3 linked regions of the Oryzias latipes genome follow. The protein of the gene in region 1 interacts with the protein of each later gene in a pairwise test. Links are inferred from orthologs where the notes say so. Each region holds a gene or a part of one and is shown in the gene's direction. Other genes may lie near its edges. The genes, in order: smad1, lemd3 and psmb4.

Region 1 (4,144 bases):
TAACTATTAAAGATTTCTGCTTTGTTAGGATAACAATTGTATCAAGACGTTTTTGTAAGTCAATAAATAAAGTAGTTTTTAAGTGAGTTTTATATTACAGAAGGAAAACGTTTTGGGATGTACTTTGTCAACTAATCTGAATTTATCATGCCAATTCAGTGACTATGCTTTTAATAGCTATAGCTCTAGACACATGCTTTTTTAACTGTAGTTTTTATTTTTGGCATATAAACTTTTGTCTGTGATAATAAAGTTGTGCATCTAGGAAGGTAAAATAAGAGGATGATAGTGGATGTGTGCGCGCGCCCGAGTGTGTCTGTCTGAAGGGAATCCTTTTTGCTTCAAGTTTGAAGAGCCTTCCCCCTGCCCCCGCCATCATGATCCCTATTATAACGATCATCATCATCATCCTCATCAGCGAGCCTCCACCCCTCCACCCCGTTCCCTTCTTCCCCCCACATTTATTCACGTGCTGCTCGCGCCCGCCTCACTCAGACATTCTGTCGCCAGCGCCGTGACGTCACGTGTGCCAGAAGCTTTCTGCGTCGAGAGCGTTTGCCTCCGCCTGTCTTCAAGATAATCTAGTCCCTCTCGCGGCGGAAACGCCAAATCTTAGAAAAACTATTTTAAAAATGTGACGTTTTTTTTCTTTCGTTTGAAAAATATCACATTATTACAAAACACTTGTATGTTGTTTTTTTTATCGCAATACACAGGCAAAGTGGAGAATTTTAGCTTTACTCTGTATATACACTTCCTTTCATATATTTAATATCTATGATACACTATTAGCATTTATTCCAATTAAGATACAATATATTTATTTCATTTCACGCTTGTATTCTTTGTTTCGTGGCACGTGTGGTCATGTTTCTATGACGTCTATTTACTTTTTTCCTCTATCAGGCAATTGCTTATCATGTCACAATCACAGCTTGAGGGAAACAAAATGCCTAAATGCAGTTCAGAAGTTCAGGATCAGACAAACTGCCTGTCAGGATTGCAGAAAAAAACAGAAAAAAACCAAGCAGGCTTGCTCAATTCTCTTAGCAATTTACACTTTTTAACTCTCATTTAAAAGGTGTGTACGCCAACAAAATGCACAGTCCAAATAATATGGATTTACAGAGAAGTTATGGGAGGAGTTTTTATGCTTTGAAGTTAAAAAAAAACACAGAACTGTTATGTAGTATAGGAACAGAATGGAAACCCTTTCCTTGTAAGAAATTGTTGACAATTTGCGAGAAGCTCTAACTGTTTTACAATTACATAATCCACTTATGAAGATGTAGTAGGTCTGCTCTGTGTTGGGGTCTGTGTCCCGCGGCGTAATACTGGCGCACAGGGGGAGTGTGAGGCGGCTCGGCGACTCTGTGACGCCAGGTCGATAAGACCCAACTCAGGCAGCGAGAGCGCTCAGGAGGGGCCCGGTGATTCCCAGAAAGCGTAAACTACACACAAAAAAAGGTACGGAGATATTTTTATTCCTTTAAATTTTATAAATAAAACTAATTCTAGCATATCTTGTTTATACTGCGCACCACTTTACCGAGAGGAAGGAGAAGGTTAGCAGGTTAGCAGTAGTCTGTCAGTTGGAAGCTTCAAACTTTCCCCCCTTTAATTCAAAGTCTCTGACGGGAGACTTATGTTGTTTTTTTCTTCTGTGTGGAAATCATGAAGTGATGATGATGAGAGCTCAGCATCGTTGCTTTCTAGAAAACTCTTATGAAGTACAGATTTAGAATGTGTGTGTGTGTGGGGGGGGGGGGGAGCTGCAAATGCTGTTGTTTTCAAATCTCTTTAAATGACAGAATTTAGGCTTCATTTTGGTTCAATTTCAAAAATACTTTCTTTTCACATGAAAAAAAGCAATATTAGGTGATGTAATGCTATATAGTTGTATCCCATTTCAGCCACGTTATTTCTTTGTTTAATGTCAGAATACTGAATTATAAGGCCAAAAGTGATCATTTTGAAAAATGACTAATTACTTTGATCATGTAAACTCAGTTTATATGTGCATAAACTAAATACACTCAGCAAATAATAAACCAACAAGGCAGATCTACATCATCAACTTTTGTTGTTGTAGAAATTAAATCATCCTCATTATGAAACTCCACTTAAAGATGATCGACAAAGATACAAGCTAATCATGGAGTCTCCAACTTGAGTGTTTAATATATTTTGTAAATGAAGTATTTAATGGCTTTGAAGAAATGAAGAACATAAATATTTTAATTTTTTTTAGTTTTTTTAGGCTTTGTAGACTGAAACAAGTCATGATACTAGAATGCACACAAAAATGATTGAGGATATGTAATAGACATTGTATAAAGATCAAGTGACATTTATCTGTGCTTTCTTTTTGTCTACAAAAACACCAAAAATTGTAGAAAAGTTATTGATTTTACTTCGTTATGCAACATTCTGACATGTCTTGATGAAGTGTTATTTGATTTATTACACTGCTGTTAATGAGTAATCATAATTTAATCATGAACAATTTTCCATTCTATTTTAATGTCAAACAGTACAGCAATACTCTTAAAATGAGTACATTGCAGGAATACTACTTGCTACTGTTGTTTGATTAATGATAACTACCTTTCGCTGAATTTTAAGAAGTACTTTTCCTTGCATTTGCACAGTAGTGTACTAGAGTTTTTCTGCAGTTGTGTCCATGGAAGGTAAACAAGGGAAAACACAGAGTGAGAGTCTTGCAGCAGCTCAGCCCAGATCTCCTGACATTATTGAAGATGACATATCAGATTACTCAAAGGACGGGATTTTGCCCTTGTTCGTGCTACAGCCTATACCCTGTTGTTGTTTTGCATTCTCGGGGTATGCAATGATGAGTTATGCTTGAGAAATTGTGTGTTCTTCCCTTTTCTTTTCAGTCTTTTAGGACTGATAAGAAAAATAAATGTAATGTATTTATTTAGCTTATTGTCTGTGGGTTTTTTTGTACACATGTTCGTAAAGAAATTTAGCTTTAGCATGTAGAGTTCCCAGTGTTATTGTTGTCTGTCTTTCAGCTGTGGCATTTCTTAGGGTGACTACAATCAGAAAACTGAGCTAAACTACACTGACAGATTCATTTTGCAAATGAAATATTTCTGACTATAGTGTAATGTACTAAAGTATGAATATATAGGATTAATTTGTTACACTTTTCTTGTGTGTTTGTGTGATCTGAGCACTGTGGCCTCATAGTGATAGGGGGAAGTGTCCACCCTAACACAACACAAACCCGACTCTTGAGTGCCAAGCATGTTTGAGATGGCTGCCTACAAACCCATGCGATTGCTATTTATGTCTGCTGTCCGGTTGCGTGTTGACTGATGTATCTGGAATGTAAAAATACGGCTGTAGCTTTGTAGTCAGGACAAATGTGATTCCAGGCCGTTTGCAGAGGCTGTTCCCATTCAGAGCTTCATCTCTAACTTATCGTGCAATCCTTGCCGAATCTGAGCATTGCACAGATTCGTGTTTGTGGGGGACCGTGGCCCGGTGACTCAAAGGACACTCTGGTCAATGACTATGTCTAGTCAGAAGGCATCTTGTGTGTGTCTGTGGTTATTTTTAAGCTTTACTTATACATAGACTGCTGGGTAAAATAACTTTGGCAGAAATCTGCATTCATTGCTCACTGTGGACCCTAACAGATTTTAAATAATTGTGGATGTCATCTTTATTTTGTCCAAAATAATCTCTTTATACATAAGAATTAAAGATTTGAAAATAAACAGGATGCTTTTTTTTAACAGATCAAGCCTTTATTGTTCAAAATCTATATAAAGACCTGGTCCAATGAAAATATTTTTGGTGTTTTTAACATGTTCTTATAGTATTTTTCTCATGATGGAGGACATGTAAAAAAAAAGAAAAGTGCTCAAAATTTCTTTTTTGAGTATTTCTTCATTTAAATGGTTGTAAATCAAGAGCAGTTGGAAAAAGTCTGTAGCAGTGATGTAGGTGCTGCTGCAGCCGGCAGACCACAACCCCCCTGCTCCGCTCTATTCCCATAGATCCACTTGTAGATGCATTGATCCATGTTAGTCTTTGTTTTCCTTGTCCGAGTTGACATCTGACTCAAAACTCTCCTGTTGGATCGCTCCAATATTGCTAGGCATTTTTTTTT
Region 2 (4,065 bases), on another chromosome or scaffold:
TGTTGAATGACCGTCAGTTGAGAGCCTGTCAGCAGTTCTGTGGTTTTGCGGGGCGTTCGCCGCTGTAGATCAGTCAGAAAAGAGAGGGAGGCTGTGGGAAAACAGAGGGCCAAGCAGACATTCTGGTGCCTCACCTCAACAAAGAGCCAAAAAGAAAGATTTAAAGACCCACTCTGATCATCGTCAGATCTATTTTCAAAGCATCCCCAGTGTTGATTTGATTTTATTGATTTATTTCAAGCATTGTAGTCAAAGCAATAAAGAATTTATATATTATTTTATATATTTATCAAACTCATTACAGAAATGATGAAATGCATAGATTAAAAAGACAGAAAATAAAACAAAACAAAAACCTCACTTGAATCACATTTGCTTCATTAAATACAGTGATCATTAACTAAAGTATAAGTAGAGTTTGATTTATTGCTTGAAAAGGAGTGGGAAGAAGCAAGCTTATATAATCGCACCCCTACTGAGTTAATTAATTTGATAGTTTTACATTGTTTTAAATCCGGTTCTGATCAGATAGATTCTCGTGAAGTAACAAAATCCAGTGCCTAAAAATGCTTGATTATCTTCAGAAAACATTCATTCATGATTTCAGTAAACAGTAATGGTACCGATATGTAATAATCATTGATTATCATCAGAACACACGATAACATTAAACCAGTAATTATTGCTACACATTGCAGATCAAGTAAACAAAATCAATAGCTTATTGATTGTAATTTAAAGTGTTATTTTAGTTATTATGCCGTTTTTAGCAAAAACAAAAAAAAAAACTGTGACATTTTGTAGGACATAGTTTCTGCAGAGCAGAAGGAGTTCATCAGAAATTCGCTTCTAAGCTATTGGTGGGGCTTTTCGCAAAGAATAACGCTGCCCCCTGTTGCTTAAAGCTCTGGAGCATGGAGCGTGTGACGCGTCCCGGGTATTTTCTGTGTTAAATTTAAACTCAAACTGCATTTTTTTCTAATCTGCACTTAATTAACAAGAATTTGAAAAAAACACACTCAGAAATGCAATTGTAAGCCTAATCTTCTTAATATTTGACCTCCGTTATCAGAACAAGGCTACAAGAACATGTTAGAAAGACCCTTTTAATCAGAATGAGTCTTTAAAGTAGTGAAAGATTCTCATGTGTTAGTGCTCTTTGAGTTAGTGTACACTGAATTGTATTGTTATTTTACAACGGTGCGGCAGGGGGCGCTCTGTAGCTGTTTTACTGAAGCTTCTCCATAAATCCTGAGAGAGAACAAGAAAAGCGCTTTTATTTTTCTTTTAAACCGAGATGGCGTCGGCGCAGTTAACGGACGAGGAGCTTTTTTCGCAGTTAAAGCGCTTAGGTTTCACTCCGGGCCCCGTCACGGAAAACACCCGACCGGTTTATTTGAAGAAACTGAAGAAGCTTCGTGAGGAGCAGCAGCAGCGGGGATCCAGAGTGCTGAAAAGCCGCGCTAGCACGGCTGTTAGCACAGCGGTTAGCATCGCGGCGCCGAGGCCCAGTAGACATGACGTCACGCAGTTGAGCGCGATCAGAAAGCCGGGCCGGAAGTCGTCTGTCCTCGGCTTCAGCTCCGACGAGTCTGACGCTGAAACCCCTCTGAAAAGGAAGGGCCTGGCTAAGCACAGACGGATCACCGCTTGTCATCAGCAGCTGGCCGGGCCTACAGACAAGCAGAACATCACCGGAACGACCCTGAATTCGTTTTCTAGTCCGCTGGATCATCATCAGAGCGTCCATAGCTCCAGGCATTACGACGAGTCGGGGGACGAAGGCGAGGAGGAACCAGAGAACCCTCACTCCGTCAATGGTCGTGAAGTGACTGGTTTGAACAAAACAGCGGGAGAGTACTCTGATTCGGACGAAGATGGAGTTCTGAGCCCCGGCGACCGAGAACGGAACCTACCGGAGCCTCGGCGGAGCCGCACGGCTGCGCCCATCTCTCCCTCAGACAACCGAGACTCGCAGGTCAAAGGCAAGAACAGCTCGCCCAATCCGCCCGGGTTTCGGAAGATGGTGCGGGCAGAGGACGAGGAGGTGAACGGAGAGGAGCTCGACCCTTTTGGGGGCTCGCAGAGGTATGCCCGGAAGTCCATTTACGTCTCCCTCGCTGAGCAGCGCGGAGCGAAGGCCGGGAAAAACCACTTCGACAGCGAGGACGGAGCAGCCAGAAGCAACAGCGGGGCTCGGTTCAGCGTCGGGCTGAGACCACGCTTCTCCGGCTACAGCAGCCCGGCCCAGACACACAAGGGGAACCACTCCAACCACAGCCCGCCCCCGAACCACGCATACAGCCCGACTGCTCCGAAGAAGAAGCTGTCTGTCCCGGAGGACGAACTCCTTCTGCAGTTCAGGAGGGAAGAGCCCGCGTCCTCCGGCAGCATCAGCGCCCATTATCTGTCCATGTTCCTGCTCACCACAGCCTGCCTCTTCTTCCTGCTGCTCGGCCTCATGTACCTCAGGATGAGGGGCTCCGTGGAGGCGGACAGTGTTAGTAAGTATCCAGCTGGATCAACTTTTACATGTTTTTTTAATGCATCAAAAGTGAACTTTAAACTGTTCCAAGCATTTGATCAAACATGGAGAAGTGTTACCGTTATTGTATTGCTATAGACATTCAAGAGATTCAAGAAAAATCCTCTTTTTAAGCTTTAAGTGTATTTTGATTTTTTATTCTTCACCCCAAAACAGTATTTTTTCATTCACGCCTTTTAGGGTTTTCCTTTAAAATATTTTGTTTCATTCACGCCTTTTAGGGTTTTCCTTTAAAATCCTGCTTGAGCACCAGCTCCTTCATGAAAGCGAGTGGGTCCTCACATCGTGACATCACAAAGTGAGGACCAGCCCCTTTCAGGAAGAGTCGATGCTGCCAGCACCGCCCCCTGGCTAATAGACACACCAACTTTCTCAGTGGCGCTAGCGGTGATCGGCTAAACGCTCTGGTTTAATATGCACAATATGCATGTCCATCTTTGCAAAAGTTTGGGTGTTGTTTGTTTTCATGGGAGAAACCTAGAGTCTGCCTCACTGCAGATGGCGACTCTAGGTTGACGTCATGAAAGGAGCGGAAGGAGGAGCCTCAGATCAAGTTGGACAATGAGCTGTAAAAATAACTTGTTTTCCCAAAAAAAAGTCCTTCAGTGTATCAAAGGTAATATTTATTATCATATAAATGGATCTAGTTGACTCTGAAAGGCTTAAGAAAAGCATGATATATACACCCTTAAGATGGAATCTCGAATGCCATCTGACAAACATCTGTAAAAAGAAAGAAAAGCATATTTTCCAATCTAATCTGTGGCGCTCCTGTCATGACACATCACTATTAGCTGGTTGTGATAGGTGTAGCCAGCTGGACATACCTGTCAGCTGATCAGAGGTGTTGTGACCACTGGACTGAGCGAGTGTAACGTCGCCCATAGAAAATGCCTTACTTCCGGCTCCGGCGAAATGAGGTCGTGATTTTTCCGCCACACTGACAACAAAAGCAGTGATTGGTCCCAATTGGTCTGAGTCGACGTTTCTATGGCAACCAGTCTTACCAGTCAGCAGTGAGCTTGTTTGTAGGCCACACCCATTCCGCTGAACATGGGCTCAGGATAATCTGTCAAACATTTCGAACATGTCAGGTGGGGGCCAGTGGACACCACATACTTCTAATGGTCAGTTTAAAACCTAAATAACTTACGATAAAGAAAATATGTTTTTTTCTGACCAATAGAATGATTAACAGCTGCTCATTTCTCTATAGATGTCTATGGGATTTTGGCTTCTTGGAGCCAGCAGGTACTTCCTGTTTGCGATGCCAGGGGAAGAAGTCACTCAAAAACTGTATTATTATAAATAAATAAAAAATTTATTGAGAAACAAGTTGATATCTGTTATTTAAAATTGTTAAAACAAAAACAGCACTGGCCTCACCAGACTCTCCAGGACTCCTGAAAAAAACAAACAAGAAAATCCGAATATCTTAATGAAGAAGTCAGCTGTTGATATCCATAATGATCATTTGGGTAATAACTGAAGCTCTCAAGCCTTTTAGAGGCAGCACACTG
Region 3 (4,296 bases), on another chromosome or scaffold:
GAAGAGTAACACCAAGCAATAACAGGGAAAAACAGACTTACAGCAGCTCTGCTCGCTCAGCCCGTCGACTGTCAGGTGAGGACAGACAGGTGAGACGGGTTAGATTGTTTTTAGCTCAAACAGCCCAGACCTTGGAGGAACCTGCTGCGATCCTGATGACTCAGCTGTTGGAGTTGGACTCATCTTTTTATGAGTTTACGAGCGGACTCTGGTGCCCACGCTCCCTCGCGCCGCCTGTCTTGCTGCCTTCCGTCTCTCGCTCTTCCCCTCTGTACCTTTAACCACCTGGACCGCAGAGGTGTGGTGCGTTGCAGCAACAGGGCCCCACCTGGTTGCCATGACAACCGTGACTGTGCAGGCAGGTGTGCCAGGCTGGAAGGAGCAGAGCGCATGTTGCTGCCTGCTGAGTGTCTCCCCGCAGGAAATCACTGGTTCAATTACTGAGAGATGTTTTTTTTAAAACAGCCATGCACCTTTTAAGAGCACATTCAAGTCAAACATCGATAATCTACTTAGTTGCACATATTTCTGGTGAAAGAATGCGTGTTTTTAATGCAAACTAGGAGTAGTGGCACACAAAAAACATGAAAATACAAGAAATAACATTTGTGAAGTGATTTAAATCAGAAGATGTAATCACAATTGGACGCTAAATCAGTTATATCATTGTTCAAGCATTGATGGAAAATCTATTTACAGTCTAAATAGGGTAAACAGGGGACCGTACATCTGTGTGTCATAGTGGTAACCTGTGGAGCTGCAGCTGAGGGTCTGAGAGTCATCCAGTCTTTCACTGCATTTTTTCTACATTTTTAGCTTGTACCTCAGTCATGATCTTCTTATTCAATTCATCCGTTTTTCAGTCAAATCAGAAAGTCGGTACTGCAATGCTGACTGAGTGGAGGAGTTAGACCATTTTAAATGGGGTCGGCGGAAATGAGAGCATGTCAATCTAATTTAATTTACAAAGAAGTCTATTGAGAGCATACAAATTCTCTTTTTATAGTCAAAACTATATATATATATATATATATATATATATATATATATATATATATATATATATATATATATATATATATATATATTTAAATTATGTTGTAATAATATTTTAGTTAAATGAAATGTTTTATAATTTTTATTATTATTATGCTATTGGTTGTTGTTGCTATTGTTGTTGTTATTACTATTATTATTTCTGAATTTGTTTCCTTTTAATTCAACTGTTTTTATAAGCGTTTGAAGCAAGATTAATCTCAAATAATTTTTGTTACAGTCTTGATAAAAAAAATTGCATTGTGCTTTCTAAAAAAATTTATAAATTTAAAATGAAATCAAAACAACAAAGGAATAATTATAAAAAAAATCGCGACTTACAAAAGAAAAAGTAAAATAAAAAAACAATCAAATGGTTAGTTTATTTTGTGCAGCTTTTTCATCTTCCGGACAGCAGGGAGCAGTAGAGTTCAATTTGACGTCACGTAACGCTTATTACAACGAAACGAAAAATCTGACGTCATTTCCTGCAGAGTCAACATGGAGTCTCACGGTTTGAAGATGAATTTCTGGGAGAACGGACCAAAACCGGGACAATTTTATTCTTTTCCCGGCAGTAGCAGCAGCGGACCGGGCACATCATGCGGACCGGTCAGACACACGCTGTGAGTTCGCCACAGTGACTACCAGAACCGCTACAGTTACTTAAATCAAAACATCTTTCCGGGTTTCGATATTTGAGCTTCGTTGCTGTATCATCATGGCTGCTAAATCATGTTGCTGTGCTTATTGTCTGTTTAAATCGAGTTTAACTTTATTATACGAAGTAAAATAATACAATATGCTGTTGAACATACATTTAAACTCGGCTTAATCTCTACAATTTAGTAAATTTAATTTTAACTCGAGGAATTTAGCTAATTGTTAGCCGTCATCGTAATAGCCAACTTTTTTGTGTGTTTGTTGGACCTCAATGCATCGGGGGGTTTAAATACCTCATTTGTAGATTTATTCACCGGTTTACATCACATTTTGTGAATATTTTCCATAAAAATATAGACAAATGTTTTTTTATTTAGAGACGGCAATTATTTTAGCGTTTTTGTTTGATAAAATAATTATTAATATTCCAATGTAGACACATTTGATTTAAAATATTGCTTTTACAATAAATGTGTATTTTACTACAGTCTGCTTTTCAATCAGATTATGGATTACTGGTATATTTGAATTTCTTTCTTGTGTTTGTAAACAGGAAGCTTCTTTTTACATTCGTTTTTCAGTTTGGTATCCATGCAGATGATAGATTCTCTGTATTTAGATGCAGTTTTTTTGTTGTTGCTAATCGTACATCTTCCCCTCCGCAGCAACCCGATGGTAACCGGGACATCAGTTCTTGGAGTGAAGTTTGCAGGCGGGGTCATCATCGCCGCCGACATGTTAGGCTCCTATGGCTCTCTGGCTCGATTCAGAAACATCTCTCGACTCATGAAGGTAAGCGTTACTGTTGAAAACATGTCTAAATGAGTAAAAAAAAAAACATGGCTGATTACAGTTTGTGTTGCAGGTGAATGATAACACCATATTGGGGGCATCAGGAGACTACGCAGACTATCAGTATCTCAAACAGGTCATCGAGCAGATGGTGTAAGCTGCTGATAGACACACTAAAGCAGTTCAGTCTGTTGTATGTGGATCATGCGTGTCTCTAAAGGTCGTAATTTACATCCCAGGATTGATGAGGAACTGCTTGGTGATGGCCACAGCTACAGTCCAAAAGCTATCCACTCCTGGCTGACCAGAGTGATGTACAACCGACGCAGCAAGATGAATCCTCTGTGGAACACGGTTGTCCTCGGGGGTTTCTACAATGGAGAAAGGTGAGTCAAAAAGACGAGTTAAGGTTTTTTAAGCTAGATTGTCAGTAAAGTAGTGTAGGTTAAGTTTTAGTCTAATAAACGACAATCACTAATCAATACATTTAATACGGAAATTTTATGTCTTTAGTTTCCTGGGCTATGTGGACAAGCTTGGCGTGGCTTATGAAGCTCCAACAGTGGCTACTGGTTTTGGAGCTTACCTTGCTCAGGTATGTTTCAAAGTCAGATTTGGATGTTAGTGAGGATTTGTTATTGTTTTGACTTTGTTGTCAAATTTAAAATGTCAGGTTTCCATTAATTAAATGATGAGCGACACAACAATCTTGTTTTTTCTTTGTCCAACTGACTAACTTTGCGGAAGGATTAGACTTAAGTAAAAAAGAAAATTTGTGTTGCAGCCTCTTATGAGAGAAGTGGTTGAAAACAAGGCTGACATCACCAAGCAGGAGGCGCGAGACCTGATAGAGCGCTGCCTTAAAGTGCTGTACTACAGAGACGCTCGGTCCTACAACAGGGTAAGTGCATCTGTCGTCGATCTGTTGGGAGGCGCAGACATTTACTTAGATGTAACTGGATTTAAAGGAGTAGCTCAAAGTGAGAATTTTTTTACCAAAAGTGCAAAACGCTCTGACTTTTTAAATAAATATTGTGGATTATTAGGTTGAAATTGATATTGTGTTTTGTCTTTCAGCATGAGATTGCCATTGTAACTGAACAGGGAGTGGAAATAATCGGCCCTTTGTCTTCTGAAACCAATTGGGACATTGCTCACCTGATCAGGTAGGCTCCAGACATTTTCTGTGGGTATAAGTCTGAAACTTTCTTGTAAAACAGTGTAAATTTGACCTCCCTGGATTAATTTCTGTTTTTCATTTTGTGTCTCTGCAGCGGATTCGAATGAACTACAAGCATGTTTCATTTTTTTCATCAAAACCATAAACAACCTGCAGTTTATCGAGTTTAGTTTCTTTTTGTTGGGTCACTTTGTATAATGAAAAATAAAAATGTTAAAACTGAAAAACCTGCTTGGTTGGTTTTATTTTAAACAAAGAAATAGACAAAAACATTTAAAGTTATTTTAATTTCACTATATTTGATAGCTCCTTTTAGGGGTCGCCATAGTGAATCATCTGCCTTCATGCAATCCTCTGCTTCCTCCTTATTCTCTCAATCCACTATCAAGCTTTTTTTTTACAATGATAGATTGCAGGGGTGGGGTTTTTAGGAGGTATTGTCCATATTTGTCCATGCTGATATAACTGCATTGAAAAAAAGATTTTAGGATTCAATAATATGTGAACTTGACTCTATCCATTATTTAAAAGTATTTTTGGAATACATGGAGTATACTTAGAACCTGTTTTTTCATCAGCTTTTTACCATTTATGAATGATAATTTAAATATGTCATTTTCATTTTA

What was found.
Region 2: the proteins of smad1 (region 1) and lemd3 interact in binary tests that used the Homo sapiens proteins (3 or more experiments, as listed by UniProt). The link is inferred for Oryzias latipes from reciprocal best matches to the Homo sapiens genes SMAD1 and LEMD3.
Region 3: the proteins of smad1 (region 1) and psmb4 interact in binary tests that used the Homo sapiens proteins (3 or more experiments, as listed by UniProt). The link is inferred for Oryzias latipes from reciprocal best matches to the Homo sapiens genes SMAD1 and PSMB4.

Annotation. Positions count from the first base shown.
Region 1 is NC_019859.2:18,353,862-18,358,005, forward strand, and holds the start of smad1 (mothers against decapentaplegic homolog 1), read left to right. Parts: upstream 1-1,338; 5' UTR 1,339-1,467; intron 1,468-4,144. UniProt on the Homo sapiens protein: Transcriptional modulator that plays a role in various cellular processes, including embryonic development, cell differentiation, and tissue homeostasis.
Region 2 is NC_019881.2:11,305,999-11,310,063, forward strand, and holds the start of lemd3 (inner nuclear membrane protein Man1), read left to right. Parts: upstream 1-1,257; 5' UTR 1,258-1,297; coding exon 1,298-2,504; intron 2,505-4,065.
Region 3 is NC_019869.2:4,417,650-4,421,945, reverse strand, and holds psmb4 (proteasome subunit beta type-4), read left to right. Parts: upstream 1-1,495; 5' UTR 1,496-1,536; coding exon 1,537-1,661; intron 1,662-2,363; coding exon 2,364-2,490; intron 2,491-2,563; coding exon 2,564-2,643; intron 2,644-2,729; coding exon 2,730-2,876; intron 2,877-3,003; coding exon 3,004-3,085; intron 3,086-3,274; coding exon 3,275-3,391; exon of another isoform or gene 3,392-3,567; coding exon 3,568-3,656; intron 3,657-3,764; coding exon 3,765-3,777; 3' UTR 3,778-3,897; downstream 3,898-4,296. UniProt on the Homo sapiens protein: Non-catalytic component of the 20S core proteasome complex involved in the proteolytic degradation of most intracellular proteins. This complex plays numerous essential roles within the cell by associating with different regulatory particles.